Coturnix japonica: one gene and its partners. The protein of the gene in region 1 interacts with the protein of each later gene in a pairwise test. Links are inferred from orthologs where the notes say so. Each region holds a gene or a part of one and is shown on either strand. Other genes may lie near its edges.

The links.
Region 2: the proteins of FMR1 (region 1) and NUFIP1 interact in a two-hybrid assay, tested with the Homo sapiens proteins (2 studies listed by BioGRID). The link is inferred for Coturnix japonica from reciprocal best matches to the Homo sapiens genes FMR1 and NUFIP1.
Region 3: the proteins of FMR1 (region 1) and PICK1 interact in a two-hybrid assay, tested with the Homo sapiens proteins (2 studies listed by BioGRID and IntAct). The link is inferred for Coturnix japonica from reciprocal best matches to the Homo sapiens genes FMR1 and PICK1.

What each region holds. Positions count from the first base shown.
Region 1 is NC_029519.1:17,270,962-17,275,204, forward strand, and holds the end of FMR1 (synaptic functional regulator FMR1), read right to left. Parts: intron 3,073-4,243; coding exon 2,962-3,072; 3' UTR 503-2,961; downstream 1-502.
Region 2 is NC_029516.1:150,056,776-150,060,836, reverse strand, and holds the start of NUFIP1 (nuclear fragile X mental retardation-interacting protein 1), read left to right. Parts: upstream 1-1,251; 5' UTR 1,252-1,258; coding exon 1,259-1,445; intron 1,446-1,655; coding exon 1,656-1,744; intron 1,745-3,586; coding exon 3,587-3,691; intron 3,692-4,061. Other genes in the region: GPALPP1 (GPALPP motifs-containing protein 1), read right to left, coding at 1-52, 1,045-1,129. UniProt on the Homo sapiens protein: Binds RNA.
Region 3 is NC_029516.1:46,560,793-46,564,757, forward strand, and holds the start of PICK1 (PRKCA-binding protein), read right to left. Parts: upstream 2,811-3,965; 5' UTR 2,723-2,810; intron 2,697-2,722; exon of another isoform or gene 2,567-2,696; intron 2,371-2,566; 5' UTR 2,319-2,370; coding exon 2,278-2,318; intron 9-2,277; coding exon 1-8. UniProt on the Homo sapiens protein: Probable adapter protein that bind to and organize the subcellular localization of a variety of membrane proteins containing some PDZ recognition sequence.

The DNA.
Region 1 (4,243 bases):
TTTAATATTCAGTGTAAGAGTTCTGAAGAGAAAATACGCTGCAGCTCAGAAAAATAAGTTACCTTTCACAGTAAGTGTTCCTACAAAGAACAGAGTCTACTCACTCAATTTACTTGCAGCACTTTACTTGTTTTTGGCCTGTTGAAATGGACAAGCAAAAAACATCTTATTTTAGTGACACAAAGTGGTAGAAAAAGCCAATTTACAAATAGGTCATCTAAAAAGTTTCCATACTCGAGTTAATTGATTTGCTTCTTGAAATCACAAATACTCATCAAGGGCATAAAGATAGGCATCAAGATAGATCTTTTCCTGAGAAGATTTTGATTCCTGACAATATTTTAAGCAAATGCTGAGAATCTTAACTATCCAACAAAATTAGCAAAAATGCAATCGATACAGAAAGTAAGCAGAGACTTCCATAAACATTTGTTGATTTATAAGGCTTTGAGGTTAACCCTACTGAATTTAAACTTTGGCATCATTCACGAATACCTCTCACTCTTTTTAAAGAACTTTATTTTTAAAATAACTTTAATTCATAGGACCATAGTTTATAAGTTACCGATACGACAGACCTGAACTCAAGGATCAGACATTTGTTGCACTTTCAAGTTGCTGTTGCTTTTCTTTTTATACTATCACATGATTTTTCAAAATAAAACTAAACATTTAGATTCACAGTTTAATTTGTTGAAATTTAATAACACTTAAAAACACTAGAATTTGAATTGAAAGGGATACATGTTAAGTACACAAATACTGAAAGGTCATAATTCCAAAATGCACTTGAAAACGGAATGTGACTAATTAGTCAGAACTGTAGTTTAACTTCACATTTAACCTAGTTAACACCTTAGTAAACTCACCACTAAATGTAAGAGATATAGTGCATATAGTGTGACAACTCAACAGATTTTGTACCATTTCATAATGAGAACATTTGCTTGAGCATTATGTGCCATATTTTTGAAAACTGGTAATATTCCAGAATGTTTCTAGAACGTGGAAGTAACAAAAGCTACAGTTAAGGTCTAAACAGAAATATTCTCTCTACTTGCCTTGAGATTTTTTTAAAGCAATCATTTATAAGGATTGCATCAACATCAGTTAGCAGAGGAAGATCAAACTTTATTGAAACTGCTTGCATACAAAATATATTGCACTATAACCAAACAAATGTCAACATAAAATCCAATCTGTTGTAGCTAATATGTACAGAGAATATTGCCCAAGAGCAGTTACATTACAAGGTCAGTCTACCTCGGTTAATTATCTACAGTATTTTAAACCAAACAGCTTACAGATGATGTGTGCAAGGTACCAATTTCTGTTTTCAAATACTATACATTCCCAAAATAAATAACTAGAAATCAACATTAATGTTTGGCAATACTTTTTAAGACATTTTTATATTTGTTAAATCATGTGCAGTTTGTTGCCATTTTTAGTATTCTCACCTGTATGCAAGGAAAACAGTGAATGTAGGAAGCAAAGAAACAAAACTCACAAAATACATCAGAGGCAAGGTCAAGTTTGTACAATTCTGTACATAATGAGTGGCTCTCACTCTGGAGTAATTTGAATAAAAAAAAAATTGGATTAAAATGGAGGTCCTTATATAGCTGTGCCTATTAAGCTTAATGTGCGATGAAAAATAAAAGAAAGCACAGCTCCTCCCCCTACTTCCCACCCTTCCCTAGTGTATGACTGTACTTTGGATCAAATGCTCATTCCAATGGGCTGGTATTACAGACCTTATACCTCAAAATATGACGGATTTGTTCCAACCACAGTATCTCCAGTTACTACACCAGGACTTTCCAAGATGGTGATTTTCTTTCTACCTCTCCTGAGATAGTCCCCAAATTAAAATAACAATTCGGAACTTTTCGGGAGGATGAAAAACATTAGCGCTTTAAACTGGTCATCTGGCCAAACAGCAGGCACACATTACTAGTTGTGAACAAATTACTTCTGTTCCCTTAGTAACAATGAGTTGTATTTTTTTGTTGTTGTTGTTGCTTCTTTTTCTCATTTATTTATTTATTTTTCCTTTAAGTTCTCCACAATGGAAAGTTTTTGTGGTTTTTTTTTTTTTTAGGTTTTTATTTTTTAAAAATCTATACTGCCTACAAAGAAAAAGTTACAACCCCTTTTTCAGTAACACTACTCGCCAAATCTTCAGTGCAAAATAAATTTCCTATTCTTATAACTGCCTAACCCAATGTTTATGTAAGGAAAAAATTATGGAAAGCATGCACTTGTCTATAAAGTACTAACATCTGACAAGGATTGCTACATATATTTTACATTTAGTGTTACCAACTCATCTTCCCTGAATTCTGCATCCAAATATATTATTCCTACCTGCCAAGATATAAAAAAGGCACAGATCATACAACTTTTTTTGCTAATGAAAATGACAACTGTTACATCACACGTATTTCAGGGTCCACTAAAATACTGAAAAAGGTGGACCAGAACGTGAACTGACACAGGACATAAAACGACATAGCATTTCATGAAGAACTTGTAAGTTAAATTGAAAACAGAAGCCAATTTGATTACTGCAAACACTATTTATTCTGAGAATTGAAATTGAGCAGTGATTTTGACCCAGTGCGTTAAAATGGTACAACTGAACAGAAAGTTTACCAATGCACAGCTCAGTATTTTTAAAACAAACAAAAAAGATTCTTTAATTGTTTGAAGTGCAATATGTACTTGAAAGCGATTTTCGGAAATTCAGATATTTTTTATGCAAATATTTTTAATAACTTTTTATTCTGAAAACAACTGCATACTGTTGATGTTAAAAAAAGGCTAACAGAGAACATATGTTCATTTCATGCCCTGCGCCATCTTGCCTACTATTTGTCTTTGGCCTAACAAGTTTCTCTAACGTGGAATAGGAATTACTGAAACAGTATAGGAAATATGACTTCAGACTTATGCAGTTTAGGGTACTCCATTCACCAGCGGCTGTTGACCATCTGCGTTGTCCGCCTTCTCTTTCTTCTGATTGCGTTCTTTACCTGTGCGCAGCCGGCTGCCTTCACTGGAGGTATTCTGTAATGTTTTAGTATGAACACTCCTTTCATTATTGCAGTCAATTCTGATTTGGAACAAGTCAAAGTTATATACAGCATTCTCCTCCCTTTATCTACCCCTTAAATATTTGCTACCTTTGCAGCCAGGAAGGAGTCAGGAATTTATTAAAGTCAGAAGAAAAGTAGTGCCAGATCCTTAAGGCAACTAGCTGAAACAGACACCATATGACTGTTTCTGTTTGAAAAAGCCACTTTCCTTGAAACGCACACAGAAAACAAAAAGCCACCCACAAATGTGGAAGTCCTCACACCCTAGACTACCCGGCCTTTGAAAGGTGTTCCCTGCACTCATACCTCCTTGAGACTGGAAGAAGTTTATGTGCAAGAAGTTGGAAGAACTCACAGTGTAACTCTGAAGTATCATCTCACTTCTAATAATTCAAGATTCTAGCTGTATAGAAGCATTTTGGAAAAACAGTCCTAAAAAACTCATAAAATGGTATCAACAAAAAAATGTCATCCACCCATGCACCTTTTGAACCTGAAAAAAAGTCACTTAATCTACCAAAAAGACCTATGTGACTGTTGCAATTAGCCACATTTTATAAACATTCAAATAAGCATTTCAAGTTTCTTACTTGTAGGAGGTAATTCCATAGTACTACTTCTAGCTTATTGCTTAAAATACTACAAGGTTTCATGATTTGATTTGTCAGTTTTTAAGTATACTTCAATACTAACTTAATACCGAATACTACATCTAAATCTCAGAGCAACAGAGAAGAATGACTAAGATGATTTTTTTCTTTTTTCAGTATCAACATTTGCCTTCATTTACTTCATCCTCCTTTACCTACTTAAAGTAGGTAACAGCATATTAACTATAAAGTTCTTTGCTAATTAATGAAAAAGAATAATCTCAGTCTCATCAGAAGTCCCAGTAACACCATGCAAAAGGTGGCAGCTACTCATTTTTTTTTTCCTCCCAGTATAACTTGTCCTATGGAGTAAGAGATGGTTGAACGTCGACATACAATAAATATCAGCTTGAAGTAACCTTGCCCAATGAAACGTATTTGAAAAACTGCACTAGTATCTTTATAAAAATCTACTACGTATTTTCAATATCGACTTGAACTACTTCTTCATTTGCATTCTTAACTTCTCTGGAGATTATGGCTGCAATAGAC
Region 2 (4,061 bases), on another chromosome or scaffold:
GCTTCTGAGCTGCTGCTGCTTCTATAGTCTGGGGGCAACGCTGGTCCTGCAACTGAGCACCCAGAGACATAGGGGATATTTGTTAAACATCTCTCAGAATCATAGAACCATAGAATGGCCTGGGTTGAAGAGGACCACAATGATCACCCAGTTTCAACCCCCTGCTATGTGCAGGGTTGCCAATAACCAGACCAGGCTGCCCAGAGCCACATCCAGCCTGGCCTTGAAATGCCTTCAGGGATGGGACATCCACAGCCTCCTTGGGCAACCTGTTCCAGTGCGTCACCACCCTCTGTGTGAAAAACTTCCTTTTAATATCTAACCTAAACCTCCCCTGTCTCAGTTTAAAGCCATCACCCAGACTTATACAGGATCCATCCTCACACTGCAGCTCTGCTTCTCCCTTCTGGTCACAGAATCACAGAATGACCCGGGTTGGAAGGGACCTCAAGGATCATGTAGTTCCAACCCCCCTGCCTGGCAGGGCCACCAAACATACACATTTACTAGATCCAGGTTGCCCCAGGGCCCCGTTCCAACCTGGTCTTGAAACCCTCCAGGACGGGGCATCCACAACTCCCTGGGCAGCTGTTCCAGGGCTAACCACTCTCCTAGTGAAGAACTTCCCCCTAACATCCAACCTAAATCTGCCCTCTTTTAACTTAAACATTTCCCCGTGTCCTGCTATTGTCAGCCCTTTTGAAGAGTTTACTCCCCTCCTGGGTGTAGGTTCCCTTCAGGTATTGAAAGGCTGCAATGAGGTCACCCCGCAGCTTTCTCTTCTCTAGGCTGAACAAGCCCAACTCCCTCAGCCTGTCCTCATAGTGGCGGTGCTCCAGCCCCCTGATCATCTTTGTGGCCCTCCTCTGGACCCTTAACAAAATCTCCATGTCTTTCTTGTAATGAGGGCTCCACACCTGGACACAGTACTCCAGATGGGGAAAGCACTGTGGCAGTACAGCACTGCCACACCTCAGCACTGTCACACCTCAGCCCGTTCCCACTCATCCCGTTCCCGCCCCCTCCCCTCAGCGCTGAGCTCACCCTGCCCCAGCTCCTCATCCGGGTCCTGTTCCGCGCAGCGCGGGAAGCCGGGCGGCAGCGCGGGGCCGATCATTTCGCGCGCCATGTTGGGGGGCGGGGCCGAGCCGGTGACGTCAGAGCTGCGCCGGCTTAACCCCGGAAGAAGGAGACGGGAAGCGGAAGTGACGCATTTAGTGGCGGCCGGGCTGTAGGAGCGGCTGGTCACGCGGCGGGCATGCAGCCGGGCGGCGAGTTGGGCTCCGCCGTCAGCCCGTTCGGATGGTTCCCACCGCTTCGCCCGCCGCTCTTTTGCCCTCCGCCCCCTTGGGAACATGGCTTATGGCCGCCGCCCGACGGCTACGCCCCGCCGCCGGCATGGTACCCGCCGGCCTACCAGGAGCCCACGAGGCGGCCGCAGGGTAGTGAGTGGGGGGGGTCCCGTCACCTTGTTTCCTTTTCCCTTCTATTTAGTACTTATTACTATTATTTTCTCTGATCCTCCGACCTCGATTTGAGTCTGCAGGGTCCCTCTCCCCCCCCCCACATCTGGTCCCACATGCTTGTGAGACTCATTGGCTGCAGCAATTGAAACCGACTGTTGTGTTGTGTGGGTTTTTCGTTTGTTCTTTAAGGTGGAAATGGCCATTTTCAGCAGGAATGGCAAGGAGAGCAAGCACCTGGCTTCCATAAGCGTTCTCCTGGTGGAAACAACAAGCAGAAGGTACAGATGGGCTGTATGCCCTTTGGAGTTTCCTTTCTGTTATAACTGTTCTGTGATGCTGGGATGGAGGTGGCCATGTGGGGCTTGTGTCCCTGTTTTGGATGTGCATCACGAAGATGATCAGGGGGCTGGAGCACCTCCCCTATGAGGACAGGCTGAGGGAGTTGGGCTTGTTCAGCCTGGAGAAGAGAAGGTTGCGGGGTGACCTCATTGCAGCCTTTCAATACCTGAAGGGAACTTACTCCCAGGAGGGGAGTAAACTCTTCAAAGGGCTGACAGTAGCAGGACACGGGGAAATGGTTTTAAGTTGAAAGAGGGAAGATTTAGGTTGGATGTTAGGGGGAAGTTCTTCACTAGGAGAGTGGTTAGGCCCTGGAACAGGCTGCCCAGGGAGGTTGTGGATGCCCCGTCCTTGGAGGTGTTCAAGACCAGGTTGGACGGGGCCCTGGGCAACCTGATCTAGTAAATGTGTATGTTTGGTGGCCCTGCCAGGCAGGGGGGTTGGAACTACATGATCCTTGAGGTCCCTTCCAACCCGGCTCATTCTGTGATTCTGTGCATGACAAGCAAAATAAGTGTGGTTCCCTTGCATGACTGAGGAAGTGATTCTTCCTCCTGGACTGTCCTCGTGAGGCTTCACCTGCAGTATTTTATCCGGGATATGAATTTGGAGTCAGTCTAGAACAGGCCACAGGGATGAGGGCTGGAGTGTTTCTCCTGTAGAGTAAGGAAGGGAGAGTGGGGTATGCTCTTGGATGTCAGGGGGAAGCTCTTTACAGTGGGAGTGGTGAGGTGCTGGAACAGGCTGTCCAGAGAGGTTGTGTGTGCTCTGTCACTGGAGGTGCCGGAGACCAGGTTGGGTGGAGCCCTGTTCTAGTGCTAGATCTGGAGATTGGTGGCCCTGCCTATGGCAGGGGAGTTGGAACTTGATCCATGGGGTCCCTTCCAACCCAAAGAGTTCTATGGTAAGTGGAGGCTCTGGAGAAGCCTCATTGTGGCCTTCCAGTACTTAAAAGGGGCATATAGGGAAGTTAGGGAGGGGATATTCATATTCATCAGATAGCGTGAGAGAGCAAGAGGTAGCAGTTTCAATCTCATCTATATCTACGTTGTTAACTATAAGGAAGAAATAATCTGCTTCGGGCAGTGAGGCACTGGCACAGCTGTCCAGAGAAGCTGTGGGTGCCCCATCCCTACAGGCATGTAAGACCACATTGGATGGGGCCCTGGGCAGCCTCAGCTGCTGTGTGGCAGCCCTGCACATGGCAGGAGGCTGGAAACTGGTTGGGCTTTAAGTTTCCTTCCAACTGAGGCCTCAAACCCTGAGCTCAATGAAGGGATCAAATCCTAAAATGCATAATCTCAATAAAAGCCTTTATTTTGATGGTGCCCAGATGCATAAAACACTTCAGTGGTTCATTATGTTTTCAGACCCTGACAACCTCATCACTTTGCTGTGATGGTGGGAGGGGGAAAGGTCCCTACTGCCCCTTGAGCTCCTACCTGGGATATTAGAACAGGCGTAGACTTGACTCTATGGGGAGGAGATGTGTGGAGCTGTAGCCCTGGCTCTTCTCCAAGCTGCTGCTAAGCCTGTGTCTGCAGAAGTGATTATAGAAGGGTAGTAGCAGGAAGAACTGAGTGTACTGCATTTTGTTTAAAAAATAAATGATATGAATTGTTAATGTATAGCTTTGTTAATATAGATCATTTTGAATGTTTTATTGGAATTATTACTGAAATATTTCCGATTTTATTAAATCTTATCTAATTAAACAGGGAGCACCTTGTAACCTTTTAACTTCTATGCTGGATTTTTATTTTTTTTTTCCTTCCTCTTAGAACAAAAAAAAGAAGGAGCCAGTTTTCTCTCACTATTGCGATACCTGTGACCGAGGCTATAAAAACCAGGAGAAGTACGATGAACATATTTCACAGCATATACAGGTTGAACTTTACTTGCGTTATTTTTATTTCAATCTCTAGTTTCATATATGAACTGTAGAGCTCACATATGCCAGTTCACGGAGTGCTGTAGGCACTCTTATGATGATAGACCTAGCAACAGATTCCTGAGCTGCTAGGAGATTTTTTTATACACTGTGTCTAGGGAAGCTTTCAGTTGTGTTTTTGGCTTTATTGCTCAAGTCATTTTAATGTTCTTCTGAATCATTGTTAATTCACTCCAGCATTATGAGCAACTTCACTGACATTAGCGTAGCACATGAAATATGTGTGAAAATGCTTTATGTGGTAGAGATTTTATGATGCATTCCCTTACTGCAAAGAAGTAACACAATTTGAAGTTGGAAAGCCC
Region 3 (3,965 bases), on another chromosome or scaffold:
GGATCCCTCTAGAATGAGAAAGGAGATGGATAGTGGAAAACTGAACATGGCAGACAGAGCTGTATCTGTACAACTGTGGTATCAGTGACGATAAAAACTGAACACATGATAGACATTGTACACTTTAATTAAGCACACTGTGCCACAGAGTCTATAAGCACAGGACAACACAGGAAGACACTCTGAGCTGTTGTTTTTGAGACTGCATGCACAGAGTGAAGGAGGGAGAGATGCAGAGGAAACACTGTTGCTTTAAACAGTGTTTGAGCTGCCTTTGTGTCAGAGTAAGAGATCAGTATGTGCAACAAAAACGAAACTCCATGCCAAAGAAACTGCTGATTTCATAAAACTTGTTCAAAAAACTCCAGTGCTCCTTACAAACCCATGGTCTCCAGAGGTTTTCTCCACTTATGGCTGCCTCGTACTGTCTTCCATTATAAACCTTTTTTTTTTTCTTCCCTCTAGCTAAGGTCACTAATTCACTGCTAGGACTACCTTGCAACAAGAAGCTCAGAGCAGTCCTTGGAGAGAGACAGCAATACTTCATCCCCATTCCCCAAGGTAGCAAGAAGTCAGGATTGAGCAGCGAGCCTGACCCTTCAGCGGGTCTTAGAATCAGAACTGTTGGTTGGAAACGAGCCTTAAAGGCCATCTGGACAAACCCCCTACAATGGAAAGAGACTCCTACATCTAGATCAGGATGCTCAGAGCCCCTCCAGCCTGACCTTGAATATCTCCAGGGATGAAGCATCCACACCCCCAGACAACCTGTTCCTTACTGGAACTCCACTAGACTTATTGGAAAGTAAGTCTACATACAGTCTAAATCTCTCTTCTAGTCTGAAACCATTTCTCCTTGTCCTATCACAAAGAAAAGAATCTGTCCCTTTTCTTCTTATAGTCTCCCTCTAGATACTGAGAGGCTGCTCTCTGGTCTCCCTGGAGCCTTCTCTTCTCCTGGCTGAACAACCCTAGCTCTCTCAACTTCCTCTCTCATAGGGCAGGTGTTCCATCCCTTTGGAACATCTCATTTTTGTGGCCCTCCTCTGCATGTGCTCTAACAGGTCTAACATGCCCACATCTCTCCTGTACTGAGGGTTCCACATTCAACTCAGTACTCTGGGAAAGGTCTCACAACACAGTGCAGAGGGGCAGGATCACCTCCCTCTCCCTAATGGCCACATTCCTTTGGGTGCAGCCCAGGACACAGTTGGCACTGTGGGCTGTGAGGGCACACTGCTGGCTCATGTCCAGCTGCCATCCATCAGTGTCCCCAAGTCCTTTTTGGTAGGGCCGTGCTCCATCCCCCAGCCTGTACTGGTAGTGGAAATTGCCACAGCCCAGGTACCACAGAATCACAGAATGACCCGAGTTGGAAGGGACCTCAAAGATCATGTAGTTCCAACCCCCCTGCCTGTCAGGGCCACCAAACATACACATTTACTACGTCAGGTTGCCCAGGCCCGTCCAACTGGCTTGAACACCTCCAAGGACGGGGCATCCACAACCTCCCTGGGCAGCCTGTTCCAGGACCTAACCACTCTCTAGTGAAGAACTTCCCCTAACATCCAACCTAAATCTTCCCTCTTTCAACTTAAAACCATTTCCCCTGTCCTGCTATTTCAGCCTTTCGAAGAGTTTCTCCCTCCTGGGGTAATTCCCTTCGGTAATGAAAGGCTGCAATGAGGTCACCGCAACCTTCTCTTCTCCAGGCTGACAAACCCAACTCCCTCAGCCTGTCCTCATAGGGGAGGTGCTCGGCCCCCTGATCATCTTTGTGGCCTCCTCTGGACCCTTTCCAAAATCTCCATGTCTTTTTGTACTGAGGGCTCCACACCTGGACACAGTACTCCAGATGGGGCCTCACAAGAGCAGAGAGGGACAATCACCTCCCTATCCCTGCTGGCCACCCCTCTCCTGATGGAGCCCAGGATCCCATTTGCTTTCCGGCTGCCAGAGCGCACTGCTGGCTCAGTTTGAGTCTTTGTCCATCAGGACCCCCAGGTCTTCTCTGCCGAGCTGCTCTCAAGGACCACTCCTCCCAGCCTGTACAGGTGCCTGGGGTTCTTCCAGCCCAAGTGCAAAACCTTACAATACCGATATGCAATACCAGACCTTGCACTTGGCCAAGTGAGGGGGTCCTTGGCCCACTGCTCAAGCCTGTCCAGGTCTCCCTGGGCCTTGTCAGCAACATGGAAATCTATCTGCTGCCATTTGTTTTGTTCTGTGAAGACTATTTCTATTGTCAGAAAAACAAAAGATGAGTGCCGTACTTACAGCTTATCCTCCTCAACATCATAATCCAAATCAGCAAACATCCTTTTCGCTAACTGGAACCTGACCGTCTGAAAGCACCTTCTTGTAAACTCCCTAGGAAGAAAGCACAGAGCAAAACCCCCGTAAGGCCGCGCTCTCTGCGGGTCACCAGGGCACCAACGTCAACTCCCACCCCATCTATTTCTGAATGACGAATGGTGCCCTGATAGAGGGCTGCAAGTAGGGACCAGGTGGCCGCACGCTCTGCTCCAGGCACAGCACCACACCCCGCGGCCCGCTCCCCGCTCACACAGCAGCCTTGTTCTGTTTCCTAAGCAACTGCCGTGCCCCCGATCCCTTATGTCCCGCAGCAGGCCCCGCTCTGTGCTCCCAGGCCCCGGCCCCGCTCGCTGCCCCGCGGCTCGGTCACACGCTGCCGCCGCTCGCCCCACATCAAAGCCGAGACCTTTAGAGGTGGCCGGGCCGACCCCGCCGCTGACGCGTCGCCGCCGGAGCCGACCGGAAGCGCGCAGCCAAAGCCCGCCCCCCTTCCTCTAGCGCCCGCGTTGCTACGGGGACGCTCCATCCGCCATCTTGAGAGTGGCGGGCTCAAGGATCATGTAGTTCCAACCCCCTGCCTGGCACAGGGCCACCAAACATACACCCTTTACTAGATCACGTTGCCGCAGGGCCCCGTCCACCCTGCCTTGAACACCTCCAAGGACGGGGCATCCACAACCTCCCTGGGCAGCCTGTTCAGTACCTACCCCTCTCCTAGTGAAGAACTTCCCCTAACATCCAACCTAAATCTTCCCTCTTTCAACTTAAAACCATTTCCCTAGTCCTGCTATTATCAGCCCTTCGAAGAGTTTACTCCCTCCTGGGAGTAAAGTTCCCTTCAGGTATTGTAAGGCTGCAATGAGGTCACCCCGCAACCTTCTCTAGGCTGAGAATTCATAGCAACACTGAATACTCTAAGTGCGAAGGGAGCCGTAGGGACCATCGGGCTCCATAAAGGACCACCTGAAAATCAGACCCTACGACTGAGAGCACTGGCTGAAAGCTCCTTAAACTCCAGGGCCTCCAAAGTTACACCAGCCGCCCAGCTGGGGTTCATTCCTAAGGCAGGAGCTCCTCCGTGTGGGCACCATCTAGAAGGCAGCGTGGCTGATGGGCTCCGCTTTTGTGCTTCCCCTCTGGTGTGTGTGTGTATTGAATATGGCCCTCACTTCATCCCGGAAGCATCCCTGAAGCCTTTGTACACGCGTGCTGGGTGACCCTGCCTTTTGTGTGCACTCAATCCGATGTGTTCGGGGTCAGTTGGATGGGCTCTGAATGAGATGGTGTGTGCCTTAGGGCTGTGTTTCTCAGTGCTAGAGATCCGGCAGATCACCTCATCCCGAGGGGGAAAAGGAATGAAAATGATCATCTGAAATAAAATCATCATCATCATAAAACATAGCACTCACTGCCTACCAGTATGCTTTGGATCAAGAGAGCTCAGCAAATACAAGGCTTTTATCCGCCTTTCGAGACTCAATACAGCAAAGTCAGGCCAGGCTCCGCCAGTCAAACTCTCTTCTGTTCATCTTTCATCACGTGTAATAAGGAGTCTGCAAGCAGATCACACGCTGCATGACTAGTTGGCTTCTTGGCACTCAGATGTATTTCCCTGCAGTGGGTCTCTGTTAAATCTCGTGTTTCTGGCT